2 linked regions of the Sus scrofa genome follow. The protein of the gene in region 2 interacts with the protein of the main gene of each other region in a biochemical or structural test. Links are inferred from orthologs where the notes say so. Each region holds a gene or a part of one and is shown on either strand. Other genes may lie near its edges.

Evidence for each region. The genes of interacting proteins can lie anywhere in the genome.
Region 1: the proteins of NUFIP2 (region 2) and FMR1 form a complex in vitro, tested with the Homo sapiens proteins (2 studies listed by BioGRID and IntAct, with this or other methods). The link is inferred for Sus scrofa from reciprocal best matches to the Homo sapiens genes NUFIP2 and FMR1.

What each region holds. Positions count from the first base shown.
Region 1 is NC_010461.5:120,376,657-120,382,515, forward strand, and holds part of FMR1 (synaptic functional regulator FMR1), read left to right. Parts: intron 1-1,772; coding exon 1,773-1,844; intron 1,845-2,121; coding exon 2,122-2,270; intron 2,271-3,322; coding exon 3,323-3,416; intron 3,417-3,501; coding exon 3,502-3,618; intron 3,619-5,843; coding exon 5,844-5,859.
Region 2 is NC_010454.4:45,495,681-45,501,539, reverse strand, and holds part of NUFIP2 (nuclear fragile X mental retardation-interacting protein 2), read left to right. Parts: intron 1-764; coding exon 765-2,495; intron 2,496-5,859. UniProt on the Homo sapiens protein: Binds RNA.

The DNA of each region.
Region 1 (5,859 bases), on a different chromosome or scaffold from region 2:
AGTTGGATTCGTTAACCACTGCGCCACAACGGGAACTCCTCAATGAAAGTTTTGTCTGGATATATGCCCCAAAGTGGGATTGCTGAATCATATGGTAGTTCTATATTTAGTTTTCTGAGGTACCTCCATGCTGTTTTCCATAGCGGTTGTACCAGTTTACATTCCCACCAACAGTGTAGGAGTCTGTATAATTTTAAAGTAGGTATAGAATGGTTTTATTTATTTACCAAAAATTTACTCAGTACTTATCAGGTGAAAGGAACTGGGCTTGGTTTTGTGAGGGGTCCTAGGAGGGACACAACTTCTGTCTGTGCCTGAGGACCTTTTGCAGTTCACTCCCCCAGGAGACTGCAAGCTTCCTGAAGTTAATCAAGGACCAGGACTTGTGGCCTGTCTGTATCACAGGTCCTCATAATAGCATTTGGATGGATAAAGGGGACCATTTTTTTCCCTCTCAACTGAGTCAGGTGGCAAACCAGTGAGATGCTGTTGCTACAGTGACCTCACTAATGGTTAACACATAACTGAGGTTATCACTGGCTAGAGCAGAGCTGAAAGGAATTGATGATTACAGGAGAGAAATGTAGGTTAAGTCTAGTTGTATTTAGTCACTGTATTGCATAACCATTACCCTTAGGTCTTTGGGTCTGTCTGTACCAGGAATGTTCATGATAGTGATGGATAAAGGGGACTTCCCCCCCAACTTTAGTCACGTGACAGATGGGACCCAATGAAACGCTCTTGCCAGGATGACCTCATTGCATTACATAACAATTAACAAATAACGGAGATTATTTCTATGGCTAGAGCAGAGGTGTACAGAAGTGGTGGGAGCAAGAGGGAAAGGTAGGTCAAGTTAAGTTGTATTTTGTCACCACACTGTCTAACTATTGGCTTCAGTAGTAAAAGCGAGATGGGAGTTGGAGCCTTGAGTGATTTGCCTTCTTTCCTGTCCTCTCCTCCCCGTCCGCCTTGCTCTCCCTCCGTCTTCTTTCTGCTTCTGAGTATGTGTCTGTCTCTCCGTCTGCTTCTGAGTATCTGTGTTGTCTCTTTTCCTGTTACCTTTGATTTGCCAATATCTCACAAAAGGTTCCATGCTGCACACTTTGAAGGGGTCGCCAGAGGCATCACTTTAGAAGAACTGATCCACAGTGTGTAGGGCAGGAAGGTGGTATCCGAAGGCTTGCCAGCGTGAAGTTGTCCATTTCAGTGAGGAGGGGACAGGAGACCAGAGAGTGACCAAGGATTTATCTGTTTAGTTCCCAGGAGACGGAAATGCCAGAGTGGTATTCTTAATGGGCTGGGTAGTCAGTGGCCTTAGCCATTAGTGACCATGCAGTCAGGCAGTAGGCTGGGGACAGTGACTTCCAGTCTGTTATGTGCTTATTAGAGTAAAACAAAAACAAGTTTGTCTACATTTTTAAGATACATTTTCATAGCTCACAAGGTATCCAAGGAAAGTATGCACAGGTTTAGGAATGGTCAGCTTTTCTTGAGCATTCGTATTCAGAGTACTGACCGTCACTGAGGTAGCACAGAGAAATAGGAAAGCACTTTTTACAGGCCTCTCCCCGGTAATCAGGGAGTTTCTGAGTGTGTGTGTGTCTGTCTGTCTGTCTAGAAGTACGGGTGCATTCTGCTTTAAAGTATAGAGCATGTGGGTTTGGAAGATACCTAAGGTCATTTTAAGAAATTTTCCTTGATGTCTGATAATTTGTAGATTTTTGAATGATGTTAATCATGAAATATTCTATGTTGTAATTTTTGTGTAGGTTTATTCCAGAGCAAATGAAAAAGAGCCTTGCTGTTGGTGGTTAGCTAAAGTGAGGATGATAAAGGGTGAGGTAGGAAAATGCCTATTTAAATTCTTTTTCATATGCTATTTCTCTTTTCTAAAGCCAGGTATACTGCATTTCAGTCTGGATTTCTATGTTTAAGTAACATCTTACTTGAGTCATTTTATTAAAATGATTACATGTTTAGTCCATTTGATGTATTGCATTTAGGTGATCAGTTTTTTTTTCCCCCCTCTGGAGAATTTAGAAATAATGAAATAGGTATAGCTTCTTATTCTTACTTTAAGCGCTATGACCAGGAATGACTTGCACTTATTTCTCTCAGTTTTACGTGATAGAATATGCAGCATGTGACGCTACATACAATGAAATTGTCACAATTGAACGTTTACGATCGGTTAATCCCAACAAACCTGCCACAAAAGATACTTTCCATAAAATCAAACTGGATGTGCCCGAAGATTTACGACAAATGTAAGTTGGCTGAGAACTTAAAGATGCTATGCAATTTATTTAAAAAATATTATTTTAAAACAATAGCAAATAAATTTGTAAATTCAATGGAACTTTGGCAAAATGGTTTGCGAAAATAGTGGGGGGAAAAAACGTATTTAGCTTTTTCCAGTTATGTGATCAAGCCAGCATTCCACCTATTTAAACTTCCTTGGCTAGATCCATGGCTAATGTACCTTTGTTTTCTAAAATAAGCATTGTTCATAGAATTTTAAGATTTTAGAACTGATTAATACAGATATTGTATCCTAAGTCACCAATCAATTTCTGGACAGTGGAGCTTCCTCCATATTTCTTCCCCTTTAGCTAGTATTTTCAGATAAATATGTAACAAGTAGAGCTAAAGCAGATTTAAAAGGTCATCTGTCTTATAATCCTTGAACTGAAATAATGCGTAAAGACGTTTTGGAGCAGAAATTCCTTTATAAAGATTTCGTCAAGAGCTTGTATTAAGTTTGATTTGGACATGTCACCGTTTAGAGAAATATTACATAGAAATCCTGCTTCTTAATTATAGAGATTGCGTATGTATGTTTGTGCCTTCTGATTTATATCCATGTCCTTTTCTCTCCCTTAAATCGGTCAGCAGTTTTTCATTAGATGAGAAACAACAAAACAAAATTGGGTGCCCTGTAGCTATCCCCAAAAGTTCTCAGCATTGCCTCAAGAAAATTAGTGACCTACCTGTTACTGAATCAGGAAGCCTGCAGAGGAGAGTGGCCACCCCCCAGAGCTGTCACCTTTGGTAACCTAAGACCATCACCAGTAATCCCTTAAGAACAGAAATGGTTTTTTCCTTTCTCTATAATCTATATTGCTTGTTTGGGCTGAGTATTTCAGAGAGGTACAGCAAAAGAACTCAACTTTTACATGTGGATATAGCGTATTTTGCATTAATCAAGTTTAGTAAGAGTCAACAGTTTTACTTGGAGCAAATGTCTCTGTGTATATTTGTACCAGTAGTTGGTAATCATTCATCTTAACTTCACAATGGATGTTCTTTTTATTCCTAGGTGTGCCAAAGAATCGGCACATAAGGACTTTAAAAAGGCAGTTGGTGCCTTTTCTGTAACTTATGATCCAGAAGGTTATCAGCTCGTCATTTTGGTGAGTGTTTTTGAGTGGTCTACCTCGGTGTATTTCATTTAGGGCATTTGCTTTGATAGTGATGGTATTGATTTATACCCTTTAGTCTATCAATGAAGTGACCTCGAAGCGAGCACACATGTTGATTGACATGCACTTTCGGAGTCTGCGCACTAAGCTGTCTCTGATACTGAGAAATGAAGAAGCCAGTAAGCAGCTAGAGGTATGTGGCTTTCCCTAGTGCTACTTGTAAGACTATCTGGAAGTGATAACTGTGTGGTTATAAAACTTGAATGTGGGCAGCTTGTCCTTTATTTACTGTTTCTTAGCAATTCATTATATTCTGTATTTTGAAAAATTAAATTGTACAAAGCATAATCATACTAAAGTTTTGTGCCTGAGGTTTCAGAATTAGCAGCAGTTTATGTATGTTAAGGAACTTCTGGCCAACTCACTTTTTACCAGAAGTTCATCAATGCTGCTAATAAAATGAAGCAGTGCTTCTTCCGTAAAACATGTTATCATTAAAGTACTAGAGAGTATTTAAATATCTAATCATATTCCTTTCATTATGTATGTTTATCTCTGTTTAAAAGGGTATAGAACTTCTTCATTCTAATTGGTTGTCACTCTTTAAAACTCCTGTCTTCAGATTCCTGCCAGAGGCTATTTCCCTAACTTACTATTTCGTCTCTTAAGGTGCATTTTATCTACTTTTATTAATCCTCCAATAATTTCCATCACCATACATTTATTTTCATTGATAACTATTTAGTACTTCCATCCATTGCCGTAGAAATTAAATGGATTTTAGTTTAATGTGCCAACACAAGTATATTGCTCTCGGATTCCGGAGTTCTTCATCATTATTCATTTCATTAGAGGGAAAACACCATGCAGTTGAAATAGTAAAGGAGAAAAGGAGTTCCTTCCCAACTGAATTTTAAAAAGAAAAGGTGACCTACTACTAAGGGCTGTATTTTTGTAAAACCCTGTGAAACTTGCCACCTTCCAACTTAATATGTGATTGCTGAACTCTCAGCAGGAGAGGAGACATTCACATCTCCTTTTGCTATATCTCCTTTTGCTCCTTTGTTTTCTTTATGACCATGGAGGTCTGTTGAATTGGTTTTTACTCTCATTCTTTCTTGATGTCCCTGTGTTCACCAGTTTGTGGTTTCTTTAGTGATTCTCTCATAACTTTTTAGGCCAGAACAGCCTCCTTACTTTCATTGTGAGTATTATGGAAATATACTCATTTACCTCTTTTTGAACATCTAATGCTGCTTAAATCTGTTAACGTACCCTTGGCTTATCATTGACCAGTGAATTATCAATGAAAAGAATGAACCAGGTCTCAAAAAACACGACCTCTTGATAAGTCTCAGGAATATTTGATACATTTTGTTTCTCTAATCTGCAAAAAAGGTATTATACTTTTAAAATTGTTTACAGTAGTTACACTCATTCATTCAAATTATCAGGTATGTTAATGAGAAACTAGTGTGCATGCCTCTCTTTCGTCACTACTAATATTAAAGAGATCTGCATATTCAGAAAAGAAATTTCCATTTTTCAACATGAGCCACTAATATGTTTGGTTTTCATTAATGGCATGCTAGAACTAAACATTAAATTTTGATAATACTGTTTAAAGAGCGTGATTATCCACAAGTTTGAGGTGTTAGTATAACCTAGTTCAGTCATTGCTGAATATTTGAAAGAATTCATCATACTTGTGGATCCAGATCACGAGGTCTTACAGACTCTGATCTCATTTTAGGTTGTAGACACATATGTAAGTTGTAAATCTTTGGCACTCTGTAATCACTCAGTTTAATTACTGTAGCAGTAATTTTTCTGATTTCTTTACTTGGGTTGGGGGTGGGAGGGAGGGTGTGTTTTTAATGTTATCACCTCGTTAGAGAGATGTCTAGACCACGGTATCTAGTGATAAAAGTTATGTAAAGGGCACTGTTTCTAGGGGAAAATATATACACACATGCACCTGCATATCCTTTAATAAAAATGAAATGAATACAACTTTCTGTAAAGATGGTATTTAACATTTCTTTAACTTCATTAATATGGAGTCTGTCAGACCCAGTGAGCTGGTTGTTATTTGGGAACATTTGATCTGCTTCTTAATTATTACATTGATGTCATTGGTAAACTAAGGCAACCTTGCAAATAGGTTTTCAGAAGTTACCTTGGAAAATTGTCAACAAGCCCTTTCCTATTAACAAAAATATATCAAATGGCATAGACCTTCAGTAACCTAAAAAGTATTGCTGTTGTGTGAAATATTTTCTGAGACCTGTTAGTTTCCAACTGAAACTAATTATAGGCCCCTGATCTACAGGGTCAAGATCATTTACATGGCTGACCTAAATACAGTTGTCTTAGGAGTTGATAAAGCATACTAATCAGATGTGCATTTCTCTTCAGAGTTCAAGGCAACTTG
Region 2 (5,859 bases):
AAAATTCATAAGTGTTAGATTTTTGTTTGACAGAATGCAATAGGAACTGCCTATGGTAACCATCAGCCATTTATGGTTCGGTAGAAATGGAAACTTCTAGTACTTAGATTTTATCAATATGATCTGACTTTGCTCTTAATTGTAAAGGAAAATTTTTTTTTTTAATTTTTTATTTATTTATTTATTTTTTGTCTTTTTGTCGTTGTTGCTATTTCTTGGGCCGCTCCCGCGGCATATGGAGGTTCCCAGGCTAGGGGTCGAATCGGAGCTGTAGCCACCGGCCTACGCCAGGGCCACAGCAACGCGGATCCGAGCTGCGTCTGCAACCTACACCACAGCTCACGGCAACGCCGGATCGTTAACCCACTGAGCAAGGGCAGGGACCGAACCCGCAACCTCATGGTTCCTAGTCGGATTCGTTAACCACTGCGCCACGACGGGAACTCCTGTAAAGGAAATTTTATAGCAGCCTTATAAGAATGAGAAGGTTGATCCTGTTCGGCGAGAGGTATTATGCTTAAGCGGTCATGTTCTTTCTGATCTGGGACTCGGGTTTGATTCCCACCTGTGTTTTGTCTCTTGCTTATTAGTAAACGTCCTCATCTGTGAAATGGAGCTGACAAGTGTCTTCTCATAGAATTATGAAATAATGACATATAAAGCTGAAGCTCAAAGCATAGTGTCTAGCACATACTAAATGTTAGGTACTATTGTAATTTACATATTATAATTCTTTAAAAACCTTTTTTTCCCCCCCTCTCTAGGCTATGGTGAACTAAATGGTAATGCTGGAGAAAGAGAAATTTCTTTAAAGAGCCTGGGTTCTGATGAAGCTACCAACCCTATTTCCAGGGTACTCAATGGCAACCAACAAGTTGTAGACACTAACCTGAAGCAGACTGTAAGGTCCAGCACCTTTGGGAAAGCAGGAATTAAAACCAGGAATTTCATTCAGAAAAACAGTATGGACAAAAAGAATGGAAAGTCTTATGAAAATAAATCTGGAGAGAACCAATCTGTAGACAAGACTGATGCTGTAGCAATTCCAAATGGTGTTGTAACAAATAATTCTGGCTATATTACTAATGGTTATATGGGCAAAGGAGCAGATAATGATGGTAGTGGATCTGAGAGCGGATATACCACTCCTAAAAAAAGGAAAGCTAGGCGCAATAGTGCCAAGGGTTGTGAAAACCTTAATTTAGTGCAGGACAAAATAATGCAACAAGAGACCAATGTCCCAACCTTAAAACAGGGACTTGAAACTTTCAAGCCTGACTACAGTGAACAAAAGGGAAATCGAGTAGATGGTTCAAAGCCCATTTGGAAGTATGAAACTGGGCCTGGAGGAACAAGTCGAGGAAAACCTGCTATGGGTGATATGCTGAGGAAAAGCTCTGATACTAAACCTGGTGTGAGCAGCAAAAAGTTTGATGATCGGCCCAAAGGAAAGCATACTTCTGCTGTTGCCTCCAAAGAGGACTCGTGGACCCTATTTAAACCACCCCCAGTTTTTCCAGTGGACAATAGCAGTGCTAAAATAGTTCCTAAAATAAGTTATGCAAGCAAAGTTAAGGAAAACCTCAACAAAACTGTACAGAACTCTTCCGTGTCACCATCTTCATCTTCATCTTCATCTTCTTCGTCATCAGCTGGGGAAACTCAGACCCAACCTTCAAGTCGATTATCCCAGGTCCCTATGTCAGCGCTGAAATCTGTTACTTCGGCCAACTTTTCTAATGGGCCAGTTTTAGCAGGGACTGATGCAAGTGTATATTCTCCAGGGGGTCAGCCACTGCTAACTACTGCTGCTAATACTCTAGCACCCATCTCCTCTGGGGCTGATTCAGTTCTCCAAGACATGAGTCTGACTTCAGCAGCTGTTGAACAAATTAAGTCCAGCCTTTTTATCTACCCTTCAAATATGCAAACTGTGCTGTTGAGCACAGCACAAGTGGATCTACCCTCTCAGACAGATCAGCAAAACCTGGGGGATATCTTCCAGAATCAATGGGGTTTATCATTTATCAATGAGCCCAGTGCTGGCCCTGAGACTGTTATTGGGAAATCATCAGATCATAAAGTGATGGAGGTGACATTTCAAGGGGAATATCCTGCCACTTTGGTTTCACAGGGTGCTGAAATAATCCCCTCAGGAACTGAGCATCCTGTGTTTCCCAAGGCTTATGAGCTGGAAAAACGGACTAGTCCTCAAGTTCTGGGTAGCATTCTAAAATCTGGGACTACTAGTGAGAGTGGAGCCTTATCCTTGGAACCCAGTCATATAGGTGACCTGCAAAAAGCAGACACCAGTAGTCAAGGTGCTTTAGTGTTTCTCTCAAAGGACTATGAGATAGAAAATCAAAATCCTCTGGCGTCTCCTACGAACACTTTGTTAGGCTCCGCCAAAGAACAGAGATACCAGAGAGGCCTAGAAAGGAATGATAGCTGGGGTTCTTTTGACCTGAGGGCTGCTATTGTATATCACACTAAAGGTAACTCATCTGTTTCTATACGAAGATTCTTACTGATTATTTTAACATACATTTATTGGCTGTTCTATTAAGGGTGAATTTTTGAAGTTATGATGAGCTTAAGAATTCCATAGTTTAGTTGAGAATAACAATGTGGATTAGCAGCTGATACCAAACTCTAAGCTCCGGGTCTTTGTAAATACTATGGTAAAAGTATAAATTTTTTCTTGAAACAGATGTTCCCTCTCCTTTGCTTTTTATACTATATACTTCTTTATTAGAGAGCTCACTTTGATAGTTCTCATTTCCTTAAAACGAGCAAGAGCAGTATTTTAGAGGAGTCCAAAGAGATGGCGGGTCGATTTTTTTTCTCTTATTTAATCAAACTACAATGGCAAGTACAATTAGCATTGTAGGGACCAGGCTTTTGGAGTCTGCACTTTTTTTCATAGCCTCAAAGCCAGCATTAAAAAGGAATTGGATAGGAGTTCCTATCCTGGCACAGTGGAAATAATCTGACTAGGAACCATGAGGTTGCAGGTTCGATCCCTGGCCTTGCTCAGTGGGTTAAGGATTAGGCATTGCCATGAGCTGTGGTGTAGGTTGCAGACGTGGCTCAGATCTGGCATTGCTGTGGTGTAGGCCTGCAGCCATAGCTCTGATTAGACCCCTAGCCTGGGAACCTTCATACGCTGTGAGTGTGGTCCTAAAAAGCAAAAAAAAAAAAAAAAAGGAATTTGATGTCTTTAAAATTCCATGTTAATAGCTTTCTTAGGATACGATTTATTCAAGTCTTAAAAACTTGCTGTATGGCATAACTAGTTTAAATCCTTTAAAACAATGTTTTTTTGTGTCATGAATGTTGACATGATTTTACAAGCACCTCTTCACTTTCAAGAACAGTGGTTATCAGTTTTCCTTCTCAGTCTCCCCAACCTCCCCTAACAGCTCCATATGTGTGCATGCATGCACACCTAACATATAGTGCACGTATATATCGCTTTTTTAGCAACAGCTCAGGCAGTGATACGCAACTGCAGGGAAGAGGCAGCATGTTATCAGATAGTAGAGATGAGGTAATTATGTTTTCCCTGGAAGAATCACTGTCTCATAGATGAATAACAAAGCAATTCCTGTGATTTAAGCAAATTACCTGGTCTCCATACCTTTGTTTATCTGCAGACTAAGATGTTTAGTAAAATAGATAACCCTTTAAATTTTTTTGCTTTAAAAAATGGGAGTAAAGGAGTTCCCTGGTGGTGCAGCAGGTTAAGGATCTAGCATGGTCACTGCTGTGGCTCGGGTTTGTTTTTACTTTTCTCCAGCACTGCTCTTTGGAAGTAAATGTGAGTTAACCAGGAGCCAGATACTTTTAGGAGAGTTAGAGTAAAAAAATACTTAAGTTTCTTAAGACATTGCTTAATTAAAAGTTAAGTTCTGTCAGGGGAAGTTTATAGTGTTTTTGATGTTACTTTCTGTGCCATCTTCCCTCCAGAGATCATTATACTTTATTAAAGTATGTTATACTGGTGATGGTTGCCTGAGCCTGAGGATATCTGGTTGTCCCACAACCTGGAAAAATCCTGGGGCAAGTTGTTACTAGGTTCTTGGTTGGTGGTTTAATGTGTGATTATTATGGAGAAATGCAGGTCTTTTTAAATGGGACATTCCTATTTATCTTCAAGTATTCTGTATGCATTTGCCCTGTTGGTAAGCTAACTAAATATAAAATAAATCAGTGGTATTTAGTTAAACCAAATGCCCCTACCTAGATGCAGTTGTGTTTAGTTTTGCTGATGTTACTGAAAGATTTGCTTTAGTAAAGTCTTATCACGTTGAGTTGTGTAGTTGAACATTACTGGGATGAAATTGGTATTGTTTGTTTTTTCCTCCCTAGAACAAAAACAAATAATAGTTCAGTTAGGTCCCAGAGTGGCAGTTCTTTGAATTCCTGCTGAATGTAGATTGGTCCATTAGGTCACTAATTTTTCCTTTATTTAAATTTGCTTTGAGTCATAGTCTTTTGAGGATAGAAAGATCTTTTTCTTCAACGAAGGCTTGCCTCTTTTTTTTTTTAAGTTTTCTTAGGTGCTAAAAGGTAATAACCAATAGGAATTATTGGAATATCCTTTAAAAGAACACCTCGTATTTTTTTGTTGGTGGCTTAGTGTGGTCTTTAAATGTTTAAAGTAATTTCTTAGTAAGTTGAATGAAGTTAGGCTTAGAATGGAAAGTTCTGTGCATACTTGCTGACTTCGAAAATGAGCTGTTTAGCAACTTTATTTATGCATTATGTCAGTTTAATAGTAATGGTACATTTTTTAGATGAAACATTAATTACTTGCAGCCTTAAACATTACAGCAGATTTAAAAAAATTTGAATTCAGTTTACTTGATAAGAAATGAAGATACAGTGAGGCATTAAAAAAAAACTGATGGGAATTCTTGTTTTGGGGATTTTCTTTTACAACTTTTGATATAAATATGCCACTAACTTTTATTAAGAAGTAAGTGCAGTTGTGGCTCACCAGTAACGAATCTGACTGGTATCCATGAGGATGTATGTGGGTTTGATCCCTTGCCTTGCTCAGTGGGTTAAGGATCTTGTGTTGCCGTGATCTGTGGTGTAGGTTGCAGGCACGGCTCACATCTAGTGTTGCTGTGGCACAGGCTGGCAGCTACAGTTCCAATTCAACCCGTGGCCTGGGACTTCTCTATGCCACAAGTGTGGCCCTAAAAAGCACACACAAAAAAAGAAGTAAGACCTAATTTTTGTGTTTTCTTTTTTCTTTTTCTTTCTTTTTTTTTTTTTTTTTTTTTTGTCTTTTTGCCTTTTATAGGGCTATTCCTGAGGCATATGAAGGTTCCCAGGCTAGGGGTCTAATAGGAGCTGTAGCTGCCGGCCTACACCAGATCCACAGCAACTCGGGATCCTTAACCCACTGAGCAGGCCAGGGATCAACCTGCAACCTCATGGTTTTTAGTCGGATTCGTTAACCACTGAGCCACAACAGGAGCTCTAATTTTGTGTTTTCTGGGGGAATATTGTACCATTACATAACTGTATCAGTATTTAAGGTAAGAGGTCCTCTTTTCCTATTTACCTCTTGACACTGAGGTAAAAACTTTTAAAGTAATCTTTCAAAATTAATTATGGAAAACTTAAGTATGTAGGAGTATAAATATATGTATATATAAAAATGGAGCCAAATAACATAATGGACCCATCATCTGGCTTGAACATTTTAAAAAAACATATCTTCATGAGAGTTCCCTTTTGGCTCAGTGGTTTAAGGTGGTATTGTCACTGCTGTGGCACTGATTACAGCTCTGGCTCCGGTGTGATCCCAGTCATGGGAAACTTCTGCAAGCAGAGAGTGTGACC